Alligator mississippiensis: one gene and its partner. Each later gene encodes a partner of the first gene's protein in a complex. Links are inferred from orthologs where the notes say so. Each region holds a gene or a part of one and is shown on either strand. Other genes may lie near its edges. The genes, in order: KIF13B and ADAP1.

Region 1 (8,571 bases):
GGAGACAGGAGCAGAATTCACATATTTCCCCTTTTTTTTGCTGGTAGAGCTCCAGACAATTCCCTACAAGACGAGGTTAAGTAAAGGGCTTGTCTAGGAATTCACACTGAAGTAAGGACAGGGATGCAGCAGCACCAGTGCAAACCTCTTATGCAAATAGGTGTCATTTATTATTCAGCACCGTGTGTACAAGAGGGAAATTTCCATGGGCATCGCTACCTAAGTAAATACTCAAAACATTTGCAAAATGTCCCTCATCTTGATATGCCCTGAAATGACCGGATATCAAATATGCCAAGGTTTGTTGTCTCTAGGAAAATCTGCAGAAAATATACAAAAGAAGAATCACCAGCTTCTCTCCAGTCCCCGGCGATTACAATTCTGCAGCGAGACCGACTGAATGATCCTGCAGACTTTTCCATAGGCAGGCTCTCCAAATCTTAGCAACAATAATTGAAATCGCAGTGCGTGCAGTCGTTATTTTTCATGCACGCTGAATTCAAAACATGACGGATTCTTGTCAGTAATAAAAAGGCACAACCAGTGCTCCAAAGACGTTGCAATCTGCTGTACTTACCTGAATCTAAGACGACTTTGAATTGAAGATGACCCCCCAATCGTTAGAGTCTATGGCACTTACCCCCCATGGTGTCTGCCCCCCACCCAGCACCTTCCCCCTGCCAACTGACCCCCCTGCAGCTCTTGTGCCCCTCCTGCCACCACTTCCCCGCAGTCCTGGCTCTGGCCCCACTCGGTGCCAGGGCACAGAGCACATGGTGGCTCCAGCCCCTGCCCAGACAGGTAGCCACATTTGCAGCAGTGCCAGCTCTGGGCCTGGCCCCAGGACTGGGTTGGAGCCGGGGTCAGAGCCAGAACTGCTGCCACTGCTGTGTCCAGACCAAAGCAGGGCCAGAGGGTAAGTGGGGGTGGGAGAGAGACAAGTGGAGGCAGCAGCGGGTGGGGAGAGCAGCAGCCACAGTGGGCAGGAGTAGGTGGCTAGCAGGACCTTCCCTTCCTTCCCCAAGAGGCGGACAGGTTTGCCTGTCTCGGGAGAGAAATCATGGCTTAATGAGCTGGCCCAGCTTCCTAGGAGCCCAGAGGCCCAGAGCTGACCCTCCACATGCAGCAGGACACCCCGTGACTCACTGGGCTGCTCTGTGGGTGCAAAGACGGTGACAAGAGCCTCCTCCCAGTCCCACTGCCGTTCCAGCAGATACAAATGCAGCGCTCCACCTGCCCGCCCTCAGGAGAAATGATTGACATGTATTTCTATTAAAGGACTGACAAACAGGACTTTTTGCAGTCCGTTCCTCATTCAGGAATGGACAGGGGACAAGGGGTTGGTTTAAAAACAGGACAGTTTGGTATAAAACAGGACCAATGGCCACCCTAGGCAGAAAGCAGGGGGGTCTGCAGATGCAGCTCGGACCCCAAGCCCGAATCAGGGCTGGAGCTGGGGCTGGACTCCAAGAGGAAGGGCTTTCCCCCCATGTTTAAAAGGGAAACAAAACTCAAGTAAATACAGTAATTTTACATCTGAAATCACGAGTAGGAGTAGCAAATAACTCAATCAACTTTAGTATGTGCCCATCTTGATAATCCCATTAAATGTAATTAAAACAGACTCTAGGGGCCAGAGTTTACTCTACCTATTAGACACCAAATGGACTTGGGTGCTCAGGTGTAACCCTAATTCCATCTGGCTCAAACCCTTGGAAAACAGTTATACAGTGAATAAAGAAAGGTGGTTGGGTCCTCTTCCTTCTTGCTGCTTTTTTGTGACTGTTTTAAGGCAAAGAGGATAGAATGACAGGAGCTGCTGCATTAATGACATTTCAGGGACTTGCGCAGGGTGGAATAGGATCACACGTAATAGTGCTTAATAGTTGTGGTAGGATCTGACTGCAGACAGGCCAAGCTGGTGAAGTGTGGTGGGAACCTGAGAAAGAAAAAAGAAATTCAGAGCAGGACCCACTTTACACCAGGAGAGTCATTTTTTGCTAGTGTAAAACCTATCAGTATAGATCATTCTGCAAAATTGGGGGCCACACTGCTTATCTGAGTCCAAGCGGCAAACTGCTTCTGTCTTCAACACACTAGCTTTAACCTGAACACAGCAGGCTGGGAATGTGGTGTTCCCTTTGATCAGTAAAGACATTTTCATTTAATCTTTGTTTCTGGAAGAACTGGGGTTATTTAGCTTGAAAAAAGAGAGGACTGGGGTGGGGTCTGGTAACAGTCTTCAAATACCTGAAGAGGATGGTGGTAGACCAGTGGTTCTCAACATCGTTAAATCTGAGACGCTCGTCTTTATGCTCAGGACACCCATGGAAAATGCCAGCTCTTCGTTTTCACTTGTTTTTGACTACAGAAAAACACTAGAGCACTTCTTCTGTCGCGAAGAGCTCAGAAAGACCACGACGGGGCAGATCCTTTTAAAACAATGAATTCCTGTTTGAAACACCATGCACAAATCTAGAGCTCTTGGTTCAGAAATGATACCTTGTATTAGACCAAGTAGGAAACTGCAAAAACATTCTTTTTCTGCAATCAGGACCCATAGTAGACTCTTTTTCTGCAAGCTTTTGGGCTCAAATGTCCTTCATCAGGCTCTGGGAAAATTAAAGAGGGTAAAAAGTTCCCATATTTGAAATGCCGGCGTTTATCTCGTGAATCGTGTTTGCACCCCTAGCAGTGCTAACTTTATGTGGCATCCCATGGCACCGTTGAAAGGTTATCAAGGTAACCCGGGATACTGCTGCGCCCTGGTAGAGAATCACTGTGGATGCCATTCTCCGTGTCAGTTAAATGCCAGCTTGAAAGTTGATACCTTTTATTAGACCAACAGAAATAGCAAAAAATTATTATTTTTTAATGATATTTTTGTGTTTGGTCTACTTGGACAAGCTGCTTTTCAAGTCAGAGGTGAAGCACTATATCTTACCTGAAGACATACAGAAAACTAGAACTCTTGGTTCCAAAATGATACCTGGGAAATCACAAGAAAATTGTCCTTTTCTGCAAGCTTTCGGGATCAAAGTCCGGAGGCTTCTGTTCTCTCTGATGAAAGAGGCAACCTCCCAGTAAATCTGACCTTAAAACCAAATGCAACTCTGCGTCTCTGAGTTTTTATTGCCATCACAAGGCGGCTTTACCCATGACTTCTATGTGGGGAACATTTGATGGGGAAATGTAGGAACTTTGCAGACCTCCTTGAAAACGTCGCTCCTGGCTGCAGGTGGAGCGTTTGTGTTTGAAACAAATAAATCTTGCTAAATAATCATACAAGCAACTCTTAGTACTCTGCACTATGCATGCAACCTGCACCTCCCTACCATCCTCTCTTGAGCGATGAGGCCAGACCCTACAACTCCTGACCTCCCTCTTCTGCCAGCCCCTCCAACAACCATCTTTCCTTATCAGAACCGGGGAACAAGACCCTGTCTATCTAAGGATCTGCTGATAATGTCCCCCTCATTGTCTGAGTGCCTCCCCACCCTTCAAAATCAGAAGAAAAAAAAACATTTTCTGTCATTGTGAGAGCCTGATTAATTTACAAGGCACTCAGGAGAAATGATCTCTTTTATTAGACCAACAAGATTTTTGCAAACATTTCTTGAATTAATTGCAAGCTTTCTGGCACAAACACCCTTCCTCCGGCATGAGAGAAGAGATTGTAAAAGTTCTCCTAGGTAGAAATGGAAGTTCATAATTCATAGGGTTTCACAAATGAGTCAAAAAAGCTTGCAATTTAAGATTTTTTTTTTGCAAAAATCTTGTTGGTCTAATAAAAGAGATCATCTCGACTACGAGTCCTGAGTGCCTTTTCCTCTAGACCAATACGGCTACAACCCGGATACCCGATTCATTTATAGGCTTGATTGTCTGCTGCTGCGTTCCAGGTTTTGTGGGCTGGCACCGACGGAGGGGGGAAGAAACGGGTTCGTTTCATCCAGGATGAGGGTTCGTGTGGATGCGCTGAGCAGCCAGCGCTGCCCTCCTCCCAAAACCAAGCAGGATCCTTATCATCAGGGATCCTGGTTTTCTCTGGTTTAAAAAAAAAAAACCCTAATTTTTGGTTTAAAAAAAAAAGTAACCCCAAATCCACCTTTTTCCATGATTTTAATGAAGCACCTCTATATACACATCTCTCTATTAGTGGTGTTTTATTTAAATCCGGGGGGGGGGGGGGAAGGTGGATTTGGGGTTACTTTGTTATCAGGTCTCATCCCGGCATCCGCAGATCACCGCTCCCTGCCTCGGTGCCGACCTGCCGGGGGACTTGCCCAAGGCCATGTGGCGAGTCGGTGGCGGAGCCTGCAAGGCTGCCACGCCTGGGAAGGGGACCCTGCTCCCCTGGCCTGGGGCAACACGTCACAGGGATCCTGGTTTTCTCTGATTTAAAAAACAAAAAAATTAGTAAAAAAAAAAAAAAAATAAAGTAACCCCCAAATCCACCTTTTTTCCCCCATGATTGAAATGAAACACTGCAATATACATGTCTCTCTATCAGTGGTGTTGCATTGCAACCACGGGGAAAACAATGTGGATTGGGGGGTTCTTCTTTTTGGAGAGAAAATTGGGGATTTAAAAAAAAAAAAAATCAAGAAAAAATGTCAGGGGACTACAACTCCCACGAGGCAACGCGCCACCTCTGAAGGGAGGCACGGAACTACACCTTCCGGCATGCCACGCGCCACACGGAGCGAGGGGAGACCCGCGGGTACTACAACTCCCAGGATGCAATGCACACATACCCCTCTTAGGGGAGGGGGGTGGACTACAGCTCCCAGCAGGCCGCGCGCCCGTCATGGCGGCGCTGGGGAGTGTAGTCCCGACGGCGGGGACGGGGGTGGGACCTTTGTGGCGCTGTGGAGCGCGAAGCGCCGCCCCGCTCCTGGGCAGGACGGAAACCGAGGAGGGACACGCCGAGTTGAGCGGAGCGGGCGGCGATGGGCGACTCCAAAGTGAAGGTGGCGGTGCGCGTCCGCCCCCAAAACCGACGCGGTGAGTGTCCCCCTCCCCCCCCAGGGGTGCCTGTCAGTCTGCCCCCCCCCAGGGTGTCATTGTGCCCCCCCAGGGGTGCCTGTCTGCCCCCCCCCGCCCCCCCTGTGTCAGTCTGTCCCCCTCAGGGGTGTCATAGTGCCCCCCCAGGGGTGCCCGTGTCACTCTGCCCCCCCCAACCCCTCTGCCCCCCAAAGGAGCGTGCAGCGAAGTCACGAAACCGGGGTGTCGTCACCCCCCCTCCTTCGGTTTGAGCGCGAGCGGTCCCCGGGCTGGTTTCTTTCTGGACGCGCCTGCAAACTGGTTTCCTCCGTCGCCCAAAACCGTCCGGAGCCGGCCCTCGCGTCCGTCCTTCTGGTCACCCGGGGTTCTCCAGAGAGCGTCCCCAAGCAGGATTTGGATAGCAGTCTGTCTCTTCAACGTGGATGGCGTTTGTTTTTTAAGGTGTCTAGGGGTAGGTGGTGCGCCGCACACGTTCCAGCTGGACTTCAGAGTAGAAGTAAGTGGCGTGATTCAGTTAAATGTGAGACGTCGCCCGTGCAGGTGCACTGTCAAGCGAAAGTAGCAAGAGATGACTTGAGCTCCAGGGAAGGCAGGAGCGTCACATTTTTGCAACTGAAAATAAATGGTATTGAGTGCGTGGCATCTTTCCAGGGGCAAATGTGTGTCCATCTTTCCAGGCGCAAAAATGTGTCCATCTTTCCAGGCGCAAAAATGTGTCCATCTTTCCAGGCGCAAAAATGCGTGCCATCTTTCCAGGCGCAAATATGTGCCCGCCTTTCCAGGCGCAAAAATGCGTGCCATCTTTCCAGGGGCAAATGTGTGTCCATCTTTCCAGGTGCAAAAATGCGTGCCATCTTTCCAGGGGCAAATGTGTGTCCATCTTTCCAGGAGCAAATGTGTGTGCCATCTTTCCAGGCGCAAATATGTGGCCATCTTTCCAGGCGCAAAAATGCGTGCCATCTTTCCAGGCTCAAATATGTGCCCGCCTTTCCAGGCGCAAAAATGTGTCCATCTTTCCAGGCGCAAAAATGTGTCCATCTTTCCAGGCACAAAAATGCGTGCCATCTTTCCAGGCGCAAATATGTGCCCGCCTTTCCAGGCGCAAAAATGCGTGCCATCTTTCCAGGGGCAAATGTGTGTCCATCTTTCCAGGTGCAAAAATGCGTGCCATCTTTCCAGGGGCAAATGTGTGTCCATCTTTCCAGGGGCAAATGTGTGTGCCATCTTTCCAGGCGCAAATATGTGGCCATCTTTCCAGGCGCAAAAATGCGTGCCATCTTTCCAGGCTCAAATATGTGCCCGCCTTTCCAGGCGCAAAAATGTGTCCATCTTTCCAGGCGCAAAAATGTGTCCATCTTTCCAGGCACAAAAATGCGTGCCATCTTTCCAGGCGCAAATATGTGCCCGCCTTTCCAGGCGCAAAAATGCGTGCCATCTTTCCAGGGGCAAATGTGTGTCCATCTTTCCAGGTGCAAAAATGCGTGCCATCTTTCCAGGGGCAAATGTGTGTCCATCTTTCCAGGGGCAAATGTGTGTGCCATCTTTCCAGGCGCAAATATGTGGCCATCTTTCCAGGCGCAAAAATGCGTGCCATCTTTCCAGGCTCAAATATGTGCCCGCCTTTCCAGGCGCAAAAATGTGTCCATCTTTCCAGGCGCAAAAATGTGTCCATCTTTCCAGGCACAAAAATGCGTGCTATCTTTCCAGGTGCAAATATGCGTCTGTCTTTCCAGGCGCAAAAATGCATGCCATCTTTCCAGGGGCAAATGTGTGTGCCATCTTTCCAGGCGCAAAAAATGCGTGCTGTCTTTCCAGGTGCAAAAATGTGCCCGTCTTTCCAGGTGCAAAAATGCCTGCCACCTTTCCAGGCGCAAAACGCTGTCTTGTGTCGGTGCGTCGGTTTTAGAGGAATCGTAACAAAAGCACGCCGTTGTTTATCTTGCCGTCCTGACAGAGCAATGGCTTGATCTGTGTCAGGTTGGAAATGCATGGTAATGGGGAATCCAGGTATTCAGATGTCACGTTAATTTGGACCTTCATTCATCCGTTCAAGATAGATTAGTCCAGCACCACCTTGTTTGCTAAATGTAAGAGAAAAGCTTCTTCATCCGCTTGTGTGTCAAAGCTCCCACCTAAGGCATTGTTTGTAAGGGAAGGAATTTCCCTCGGCATCTTTGCACAATAGCAGCAGCTACGCAGCGTGCCGTGCCCTGAACTCTGGAGTTGGTTGCATTCCCACTGCGGTGATTTGCAATGAAATGTATACTAGTAACATAAACGATTTGCTTGCATATAGAAACATAATACACGTGAGTAATCTCGTTCTTATGACACAACTCATTTTAGAAACGAAGTGGCATGTGTTGCACCCTGATGACAATATTCAAAGCACAGTCGATGCTATTCACGATTATCCTTCCAAAACATGAATAGCTAGGTAGAGTGTAGTGTTTGGTCTTGATTACTAATTGCATGTACAGTAAAAGTCATAGTATAAACAGTAACAACCCGGGATCTCTGTTGAAAAGGATGTCGTGACGCATAGGTAAAGAATAGGGTGTCTTAGTTTTGGTTTGGCTTAAAATACAATTGCATCACCCAGGGCTGTAAGGCGGTAGGGGTGCTGAATGCACTGTCAAGGAGGACAGCAGTCCTGAGTGATCAGGGCTTGTGCAAGCTGCCAAAGGAAATAATTGGTGAGCTAAGTGAGTGTCCTCCTGTCAATGCTGAAACCTGCTGCTCTAAGGGATTACCTGGATCTTTTGGTTTCGTGTTTGCCTGATCTCTGCAGTCACCACCGGATAAGATGTGTTCAGCATAAGACAATATTATCTTGGTTTCTGGCTCTGGTTTCTGGACACCATTGTATCAAGAGCCAAGTGTAACCCCTAACCAACCTTTTCTTGGGCGGCTGCTGTCGTTGCACATTTATTTCAGTCCGCTCCTTGCTGGATCAGCATCTCGCGAGACTTATTTACTTGCATAAAGTTTTCATACAGTGAACAGCGTATTTAGCAGCAAAAAAAGCTGGCAGAAATGCCATATGCCACGCCATAACCTATCTTTACTTACTAGGATCTTCGTCTTGCGTAAAACCAAACAGCAGACTACACAAGGGGTGTTTTAGCTAGCTTTTGGTCATTCATTCTTGTATGTGGGCAAACCCCCATCACATGACATCTTCAGTTTGAGTTGTGTTTCCAGTGAGATCTTGCAGTCCTGCGCGCTTCTGGGGGAGCACGCTCAGACATATTACACCATCTTCAAACTGAGAAGGTGATGAATTGTGCTCGCCTAGTTATATAACAGGAAAACTTGAAAGAAGTTTGCCTGGACTTAAAACAAGGATTGCTGGCAGGCTGAAAAGACATGCAGACTTCAACTGAAGTTTGTTTAAAATATGGGTATTATAAGTAATGCCCCAGCACTGCCATAGCTCTGTAATTAGGAGAGGTTTCCCGCCCTCCTTAAGTTTAGTTACCATACCGAATGATATCAGGTGTAGGTATCACCGGTTGGTGCATGTGTACACACTTTCATGGACATGCAAGCTTGGGGTTTTCT
Region 2 (9,022 bases), on another chromosome or scaffold:
AATAACCTTCGTGTGAATGAGATGAGAATCAGGCTTATTACCCTACAAGTGTTTCCTGCTGTGAGCTAGAGCAAAATGAGACCCAATGGAGACCAGACTCTTTGCTGGTATAAACCAATACAGCTCCTTTTAAGTGAACGGCAATTGAAATGGAGCTGTGCCAGTTTGTACCAGCCAAGAGACTGGCCCCCAGTGTGGTATTTCATATCACCCACCCCCAGCTCTGTATGGTAAGTACCCGGGATCCACACACCGATGACATGCTTTCATAGCATGTACGACATGGAGCAGATGAATACAGATATATAACCCCTTCCCCGCCCTCCCTTCCAGTCCTTCACCTTTGTATCCCCCTTCTCCAGGGCATTTCAGGGACACGATACAGGCTAAGAGATAAATCAAGGAAAACTCGCACCTCCCCAGCCTGAGTCTGAGCTGGTATTGTGGGCTGTAGAGGTAGAGGGCTAGCAGCAGCAGAGGAAATAGTGCTTTCTTTCTCTTGGGCTGGGCTAATTCATTTAAAGAGCCTGCTGAGTGTGTGGTAGAGGGACTGTGAAAAGCAGCAGCAGCCATAACTTTCCTTCTGGTGACTTCTCCTTGACTATTTAGTAGGAGTCACCGACCTGAGATCCAGACCTCCAAAGCCATGTGAGGGGGAAGCAGCCAGTTTCAAGCACCGGTGGAGTTTATTGCAGCAGACTGAGGACATGGGCAATGCACTTAGGGGTTATTGACTCCATTCTACAGAGGGGAAAACTGAGGCAAAGATGTGAAGCGGCTTGCTCTAGGTTATAGAGGGGGGTCAGGATAGGAGTTCCTGGCCCCTTGTCTTGCAAGTTCACCAGAACGCAGCCTTCTCAAATGTCTGCTCTGTCTATGGCCATAAATAGAAAACCTCAATACACAAGTATATCTTCAAGAGCAAAACCTCCAGGGCTGAGTTTATTTTTGACAGGAAAACCATAGTGTGACTACTATTGATTCACTTAGAAACTGGAGGCGCTGCTTCCCCCCATGTGCTGATAAGTAAAGCTGCAGTCATGAGGGCTGGGCTGCCTCTTGTGTATTGTTCAGGAAAGTGAAGGTGCCCTATTTGCTTTATATAATGCTCCAGTACACAGTTACCGTTGGCATGAATGATTGATCTTCCTGTTGGGGATTGGCTGCGCGTAGAAATATTCACCACTTCCTTGTGTGAGTGCGCTCTAAGGTACTAGTGTTTGAATTGGTTAGTACCTCTTTTATTTGCATACTAGTGGCATTGATTTAATCATTCAGCTTTTGGAGTCTAAGAGTTTCAGTTAGTTTCTCTGAATTACTGGTATCAAATATCAGCATATTATAGCTAGTGCTTCCTCTTGGTTTCTGTTCCGTTCATCACAGGTTCGGCCTTTAGGAAACCTTAATTTTGCATGTTGTGCTTTGCCTGGTTCCCAATAGCTAATACACTTTTCAATGTTGTAAAACAACTGCTCCTTGGCTCTTGCCAGTTGCAGTCTTGGAAGGGATTTTTATAGCCGAGTGAAAGGCCAAAAATAGAAATTTTTAGATGAAAATGCTGACGCGGTCATAATTAACTGCCTAACAGTGTAAACGGACCCTCCATGGTAAAACGAAGGCAAAGAGAAAGGAACCAAAGAGAGGAAAGAGCTGATGCCAAGCGGGGAAAAGTAGCTGACGTCCTGGTAGCTTTGACCAAGCATATTCAAAATGTCACCAGAAAGACAGAGAGTTTCCTATGAAACCTCCATAGTTTCTTGCCTGAAGCATAACTCTTGTCACACCAGGCAGCATTTCCACAGGCCCCGGATACTGCTAGTCGTGTCCCTTTCTAAGGCCACTGTTTTGTGATTCAGAAAATATTCACTGGGCTAAACGTGTTTAACATCATGTAATGAAGTCCAACCGAACATGCCACTCAGCAGCGCGGAGAAAGCATTTGTCTGATAACACAGCAGAGATGATGACTCTGTCTCCAGTGCAGCTGAGGGCGGATGCGAGGGATCGCCAGTGACTTCCCTAGGACCACAAATGAGCCCCTAGCTGGTCATGCCCCAATGTTTGCTGAAAGGCTCCTACCAACTCCAGTGGGCATTGGCCATATAAAACCAAAGCCTGATCTGGACTCCCTGACCCATAAGGGGTCCTATCATTGTGGCACAGGTGGGTAGGTGACCGGGCCCTGGCTGTGATGGACTTTGCCAGGTGGAACTCGCTGCCTCTCAGCTCATTCCTTCCCACCCCTCCACGATGCACAAACATGTATCATTGTTTCTGCTCTTATTTATGTCGGTACAAATCAGGAATAACTCCGCGTAGCAGCCCAAGGCCAGACTCGAAGCTGGTGGTGGGTAGCATGCTCTCGCCGGCTGTTCTGGAGCCATGCCGGGTGGCAGTAGCTGAGGCCAATAGACGTTGTTAACCTAGAATCTGTAAAGTGTGTTAAATCAAGAGTCCATTCATACAGCCACATGATGTAAATGAGGTCAGACCCCACCTTATTTTATCCCAGTCGTTTTCTGTAGACAATATTTCTGTCTTCCAAACGGTGCCAGCTTTGGTCCCCATGGTTATAACTTTTCCACCTCCCACTCTTTTCCTACATTGGGCCCCTCTTTTCACAGGCACTGTTTGTTCTTCTCATTTGAAGTTTGGATTGCAATTTTTACAGTAAAGTTTTTATTGGCGGGGGACGTGCTACAAATTCTAAGCTATTATTTGATTAAATGATGATGGTTTCTGCTGACAGATCTGTCCTGGTCCCTGTCCCCACCCCCACTCTCCTTTCTGAGCAGCTCTCTTCTGCTACAGCCCCTGTACTATTTGATTTTATTACAAGATATAAATTTCTCTCTGCAACTCTGGCTTACAATGTGCAAAGGGGAAACAGGGATTGCCTAGCAACCACGAGAACAAAAAATTAAGAGAATCAATAAGCCTTGATGGAAAGCCAAACAGGGACTTTAAAACAAAATCTCTCTCTCTCTCTTTTTTATCCTCTTATAAGAACTTAATGACTTGCTATCTCAGGTGTAGTGGGGAGAGTTGAGTGTTCATGCAACAGATGTTGCTGAGGGCAGGCTGGGCCAGGGGACTGGGTCTCCAGGTGAAAAAGTAACATCCCAACTTAGATTTCATATAAGGGTCTTATCCTGCAAATGCTGGTGTCTGTATTAGCCTTGCATTGACTGATGCCGCTAATCGTGTTCAAGTGTTCCCAGGATTGAAGCTAAGATGCTGCTTTGGAGCCAGTTTTGCTCTTCGATTTGTTGGTGTAAGTCCAGGATAACGCTGCTGAAGGCAGTAGGTTTATTTTACATTTGCATCAGTGTAAATGGAAAGAGATTTGACTGGGCACAAGCCAGCTGTTTGGAGTACCAGCTGGGGCCCTGGTATTGCAGCTGGTCTAGTTCAAGTCAAAAGCAGTAGGATTACCTATGGAAGTAAGAGCTATAGACTTTGCTTAGTATGATGGCCAGGTGTTTAGAGATCGTCGGCCCATAAATGGAAAAAGCAAGTTATGGTGATGTACAGAGCCTCACCCAGGATCACTTTAATGTACTGATTCCCAAAGGGAGTGCTGCAAAAAAATGGACCAGATAGGGCCCAATCCAGGCTGGCCCCACTTGGCAGGATCAGGCCCATGGACCAATTTTAATCCAGAAAAAAAGCGATCCCCGGGCATCAAAGGGCTGGGAAACACTGCTTTAATGTCATTGAATCAGAGAAAAATAGAGCTGGAAGAGCCCTAGAAGGTCATCTAGTCCAACCCCTGCTCAAGGCTGCATCATTCCTGTCTAAACTATATCAAAGCATCAGAAATTAGCTCATTATACCCTGTGTATGTCATTACAACTGGCAAGATAATTATGTAAATTATCTTCTAGTTTAGGGGTTATTTTAGACCTGTTAAGCCTGACCATGAATGCACTCATGCTGGTGTGTAACATTCCTCACCTGGGTAGCTCTACTTGGGCACTATTTGCATAAGAAAGCTATGTGCATGGGCCTGCTTCTGGGATCAGGGTCACGACTTGGATGGAGAGATGGTTTTCTGTTGGATTATTTGAATCCTGGTTCTGAAAAACCTTTCACACGTGCCTAATTTTAGCTTGAAGTCAGTGGGACTCCTTCCCACACTGTCTTGCCATTTTTAAGGACTGAGGCCCATCTCTATGTCTTTGCAGGGTGAGATTCAATCTTGGGGGCATGGACAGGGGGTACGAGGGATGCCTGAACAAAGTGCCAATTTTAGGCACCTTCACAAAACCAGACAAAGCCCTGGCAGCTCAGGATAAAGCTGCACGGACTAAAACCTGCCCTGGGATGGGAACTTCCTAGGCTAGGCCTGATCTAGGTATAAGTGGGCACGTCTGCACATTCATTAATGCGCCGTGTATCGTGCATTGTGTTAGTACCTGTAATAACTTAATGCACCGTAATCAGTGCTACTGCACATAACCGCAAATGAACGCTTTTTGTGTGATGCTTAATGCTCGTTGGACTGATTAGTGCACATTAGCATGCTTTTTGCATGATGCGCTAATACACGTTAAAATGAGTCCAATGGGCATCGTCTCGTATACATTTAATTGATTCATAGACATCAGGGCTGGAAGGGACCTCGGGAGATCATTGAGTGAGGAGTAGGGGCAAGAAGTCAGCTGGGGTCAAGGGATCCTAGCAAGATAAGCATCCAAATGTCTCTTAAAGGAGTCCAGAGTAGGTGCTTGCACCACACCTCTGGCGGCAGTCTGTCCCAGGCCTTGGGGGCTCGGGCAGTAAAGAACTTCTTCCATATGTCCAGCCTGAAGCGGTCTTGGAGGAGTTTGTGACCATTGGACCTTGTCATCCCTTGGGGCGCTCTGGTGACCAGGCGTGCCCCCGGATCGTGATGTAACGTGCTGAGTAACACTTGGAGACGTTAGGGCACTCTCCTAGGATTCAGCACTTGGGTCTCACTCTGGTTTGCCCCCGTGTCCCTGGACAAGCCCTTTGTGCCTCCTCTGCCAACAGCCCGGCACGAGACACCCCGAGGTGCCACCTAACATTTAGAAGAGGGAGGTGCATTTTCCTTCTTCTCCTGCGGTTCAAAATACACCAGAAGCACTGCACGAAACACCCCCCGAGCTCCCTTACTTCCCTGGCAGGGTCAGGACCTGGGGCAGCCCGACGCGGAGCCGCGAGAAGGCGGCAGGCGGGGGCGAGGCGGCCGGTGTCACCGGCTGGGTGGAGCAGGGCCGGGAGGAGGGACGGGGCGGCGCTGGGAGCCGGCTGCAGGCTGCGGCTCGGCCACGGGGCGGCGGGGCCGGGGACTGCGGAGCCCCCGGGGCCCCCCTGGGCGGCACCTGGCGCGGGGCAGCCGGGGACACCTGCGGCGGCGCCTCTGCACCAGCAGCCCCCGCCCAGCCCCGCGCACGGCGGCGGCGGAGGAGGAGGAGAAGCGCAGCCCAGCCCAGCCCAGCCGAGCCCATGGCGAAGGAGCGGAGCAAGAAGGCGCTGCGCGAGCTGGTGCAGCGAGCGGGCAACCAGCTGTGCGCCGACTGCGGCGCCCCGGGTGAGTGCGCGCATCCCGCCCCGCACCTGCTGCAGTGCGGAGGGGCCGGGCCGGGCCCTGCTGCTGATGCGGGAGGCACCAGGGGGGTGCTGGTGCCTTGCCTCGGGACCCTGCAGGGAGGGCAGCCCCCGACTGCTGGACCGCCCGAAAGGGCCTAGAAGTGCCTGCGCAGCATCGCCCAAAGGTGCCTGGCGGGTGATGCCGATGGCTACCCGGCACGTGTGGTGTGGCTGGGCGCTGTCCCCGTCTCCCGGCTCCACCAGCTTGAGGCACCTCCTTGTGCGGCGATGGGAGCCTTCCCGAAGCCGCTCCTGCCCGAGGGGGGATCGATGGGCTCCGGCGGTCCGGATCCGTGGTGTCGGAGTCGCACAAAGCCCACCCGAGGAGACCGGGAGCACCGGAGAGCGAGGAATGAGACTCGTGTTGAGGGCTTCTTGTCGTGCTCCCAAGTGCTGGGGTTGGGGTCTGGGTGGCGCGGGCGTGCAGGGCTCTGGGACGAGCAGAGTGGACAAGGGGCCGCTGTCTCGCAACGCAAGGCAAGGCAAGGCGTGCTGCCGTTGTGATTCAGCGCTGGTTCTCTGCGGCTCAGCGTAACCCCAGCCGTGCTGTGCTGTGCTTGGGTCCTACCCCTGCTCTTAACCCCACTTTCTCACTGCTATAGCTTTTTGTGACCAATTCTTGTTAGTTCGGTCTCTGATTTTTATTGTGGGCAAGCTCAGTAGCTGTCTTGTAAGATGCACCTCTGTCTGGGACTCTGAAACAGTCTGCACCTGCCTGTGCCTATTTCCAGGGGTGACTTCTCTGTCTGCTCTTCAGCTATGTTATAACATGCGTGTCCGTTGCATGTAACGTGTGGAAACCAAATTCACACTGGGGCACATGGGAGCAGGGACTATTTCAGTGTTTCTCTCTAACCCTAAAAGTAGATGGTGGGGGGAAAAAAGCGGGTACAGGGGGTGGTGGGAACACCTTGATATGCATCACCCTGGCCTACTTGTTCCTTGGCTCTAGCGCAACCGCAGAGTAGCCACCAGTGCAGCCGGCCATGGGAGTGGCTCGTGTTTGTGGGGCTGCAGATTGAGGGCCTACCTCTGTATCTCCTGTGGGACTTGATTCATGTCTGAGCCGACATGCGCTCCGCTGAGGGCTCTGTGGATCTAACGTTTCTCTTAGCAAGGGCACGGGGCAGGTGGAGATGGAAAGCGAGCTGAAAGAGTTTACTCGAAAAAATGCAAGTAAAAAGATGAGGAGCGGCAAAGGAGAGAACAGAAAGGGGAAGAAGGAATATACAGACAATGAGAGCAGTGATGGAGCAGCCACGTGGCCCCGGGTGGCAGAGGAGTGGGCAGTCCACTGTCATCCCGAGCAGTCAGAGATGGGTGAGGGGGAGTGTGAGCGCGTGTGCATCTGCTTGGCTCTCAAAGACAAGGGGTGATGCATGAGTCAGTGAGCATCTGCGGAGAGGAGCCTTTGCTGAAGGGATTCTCATAATGGAGGCAACAGTAGAAGCAGGCAGAGAAAAAGCCACTGTTTTCAAAGCCCTTTCATTTGGTTTGCTTAGAAAGCAGCTGATTCATTTGTCTTCAGAGTCAAATGGTTTGCTTTAACATTTGGGCATTGTTGAGCATTGGAATCGGTTGCCAATTTAGGGGCAAAAACTTCTCTCCCCTGTTGTTGTTACTGTGTTTGCACTGAGGTAGGGCACCCCGGCCCCGTGCCATATCCACGCGGCATTGTGCTGGGTGCTCTGCACAAAAAGGTGGTGTCACGAGCAGCTTATCTTGAATCTCTCCTTGTGACTGGGCTGTGACAATGCAAGAACAGCCTCCCAAATGGTAAATGAGCTTAAAGCCTCAGAGGGAGGAGAGGAGATCCATTCTCCTCGGGCTACAGTGGCAATTTGCTCCTTCTGGACCACATGGCAGGGGAAGTAGCATCCTGCTAACCCACACGACAGGAGCCAAACACAGAGAGAAGAAGAGAGTCAAAGACTGGGGGGGGGGGAAATGAATGTGTGAAATCTTTCACTGACACTTTTTTGCTGAACAGTTTTGAAAAGATCTTTAGTAAAAACCTAATTGTGCTTTTTTTCCCACCCAAAAAAGCTTTCATTTGCAGAAAAAGGCCATATTTTGATGACAAATGTTTTAATTCCCCAAATTCCACGCAGCTTTACAAAACAATGAACCTGCATTATCCTAATCTTTGAGACTTAATTACAGCAGAAAAAAGCCACTAAAATAAGACTATTACTTGAAACAGTAGGCATCCCAGCAAACACTGTTCACATCTCTTTGTTGCATTGTGTGTCACACCTGGTAGGAAACGGGGAGGAGGAGCAAGTCCGTTTCAATAGACTTGAAGGTGTTTTTCAGCACGGGAGACAGCTTCCCGGTCCAACTGCAAGCGCAGTAACCTCTTGATTTTTCTATTCCCCCCCCACCTTATTTCATTCGTACGTGATGTGCGCCTGTGTATCTGCTGGTTCAAACTTCTCTGACATGGATTTACGCAGGAAAAAACAAAAATTGGAAGAAAAAAGTGCCAATACCTTCTGAGAGGCACTGTAGTTTACAGCAGATCTAGTAGCATCAAAACCATCTGCTTTATAAAACCAGTGCATCTTTATCCCTTTGATCAGAATTGTTAGTACACGGCGATAAACCAGAGCTATCGGTTCAGTGGGAGAAGGTAATTTCCACCTATAGGTGTATACATTTCATCTAATCCTTATAGGATATGTGACTGTGAGAAGGAAAAAGAGCAGCAAGGCGAGAAACATTAGCAGAAGGGGGAATCATTACGGAGCTTGATCCTGTGGGGTACTGAGCTGAATTCCCCCTGGAGCTGAGAGTACTGAGCTCATAACCGACTGTGGTTTGGGAAGAGAGCTCATGCCAGAAACCACTTGCAACTTGTCTCCCGCAGACACTGGGACCATGGCATCTTCCTCGACTTGTAATATGCACATGGCTGGATAAGGAGCTTGTGAGCACAGGATGAGAGGGGAAGAATACCTGTTCCTATGGTTTCAGAGTTGCATAGATGTTGGGGTCGGAAGGGACCGATTAGATCATCGAGTCTGACCCCCTCCTGGGCAGGTTTTCTGCTTCCTGCTATATTCTGCAGCCAGAAAGGGTTTTGGAAATGTGAGCTTGCTTAAACTTGCAAGATGCCCCATGGTTGCACATCTGCTGCTGTCAGGGGCTACAAATGGGCATCAACCTTGAAGCGACATCAGCTGTGCTGGGATGTGCACAGCTTAGCTGCTTCATTGGGCAACACAGCGGTGCCAGTTGTCCGCAGTCAGGGTGCAGCAGGTGGTGCATACGCACAGAGGGAGCTCCCAGGGTCTGTATCTACAAGTAGAGAAACTAGGGCAGGTGCGTCCCGGGCCTCAGGGGCCCAATCCTGCAGGGGAATTCCCAGGGCATGCAGGATCGGGTCCCTGAAGATCTGGGTGTG

The links.
Region 2: the proteins of KIF13B (region 1) and ADAP1 are in contact, whole or in part, in a crystal structure (PDB 3MDB), measured with the Homo sapiens proteins. The link is inferred for Alligator mississippiensis from reciprocal best matches to the Homo sapiens genes KIF13B and ADAP1. Residues at the interface, in NP_056069.2 of Homo sapiens: Val451, Asn452, Leu453, Asn454, Ala455, Asp456, Pro457, Leu463, Arg512, Phe514, Asn516, Gly517, Arg531, Leu533, Asn536, Asn537, Phe539; in NP_006860.2 of Homo sapiens: Trp137, Asn143, Gly144, Gln145, Phe146, Leu147, Pro186, Ala187, Lys188, Ile189, Gly190, His191, Pro192, His193, Tyr211, Glu213.

What each region holds. Positions count from the first base shown.
Region 1 is NC_081824.1:6,375,332-6,383,902, reverse strand, and holds the start of KIF13B (kinesin-like protein KIF13B), read left to right. Parts: upstream 1-4,899; 5' UTR 4,900-4,952; coding exon 4,953-5,007; intron 5,008-8,571. UniProt on the Homo sapiens protein: Involved in reorganization of the cortical cytoskeleton. Regulates axon formation by promoting the formation of extra axons. May be functionally important for the intracellular trafficking of MAGUKs and associated protein complexes.
Region 2 is NC_081836.1:49,651,392-49,660,413, reverse strand, and holds the start of ADAP1 (arf-GAP with dual PH domain-containing protein 1), read left to right. Parts: upstream 1-5,310; 5' UTR 5,311-5,472; coding exon 5,473-5,557; intron 5,558-9,022. UniProt on the Homo sapiens protein: GTPase-activating protein for the ADP ribosylation factor family. Binds phosphatidylinositol 3,4,5-trisphosphate (PtdInsP3) and inositol 1,3,4,5-tetrakisphosphate (InsP4). Regulates the incorporation of CD63 and CD9 into multivesicular bodies.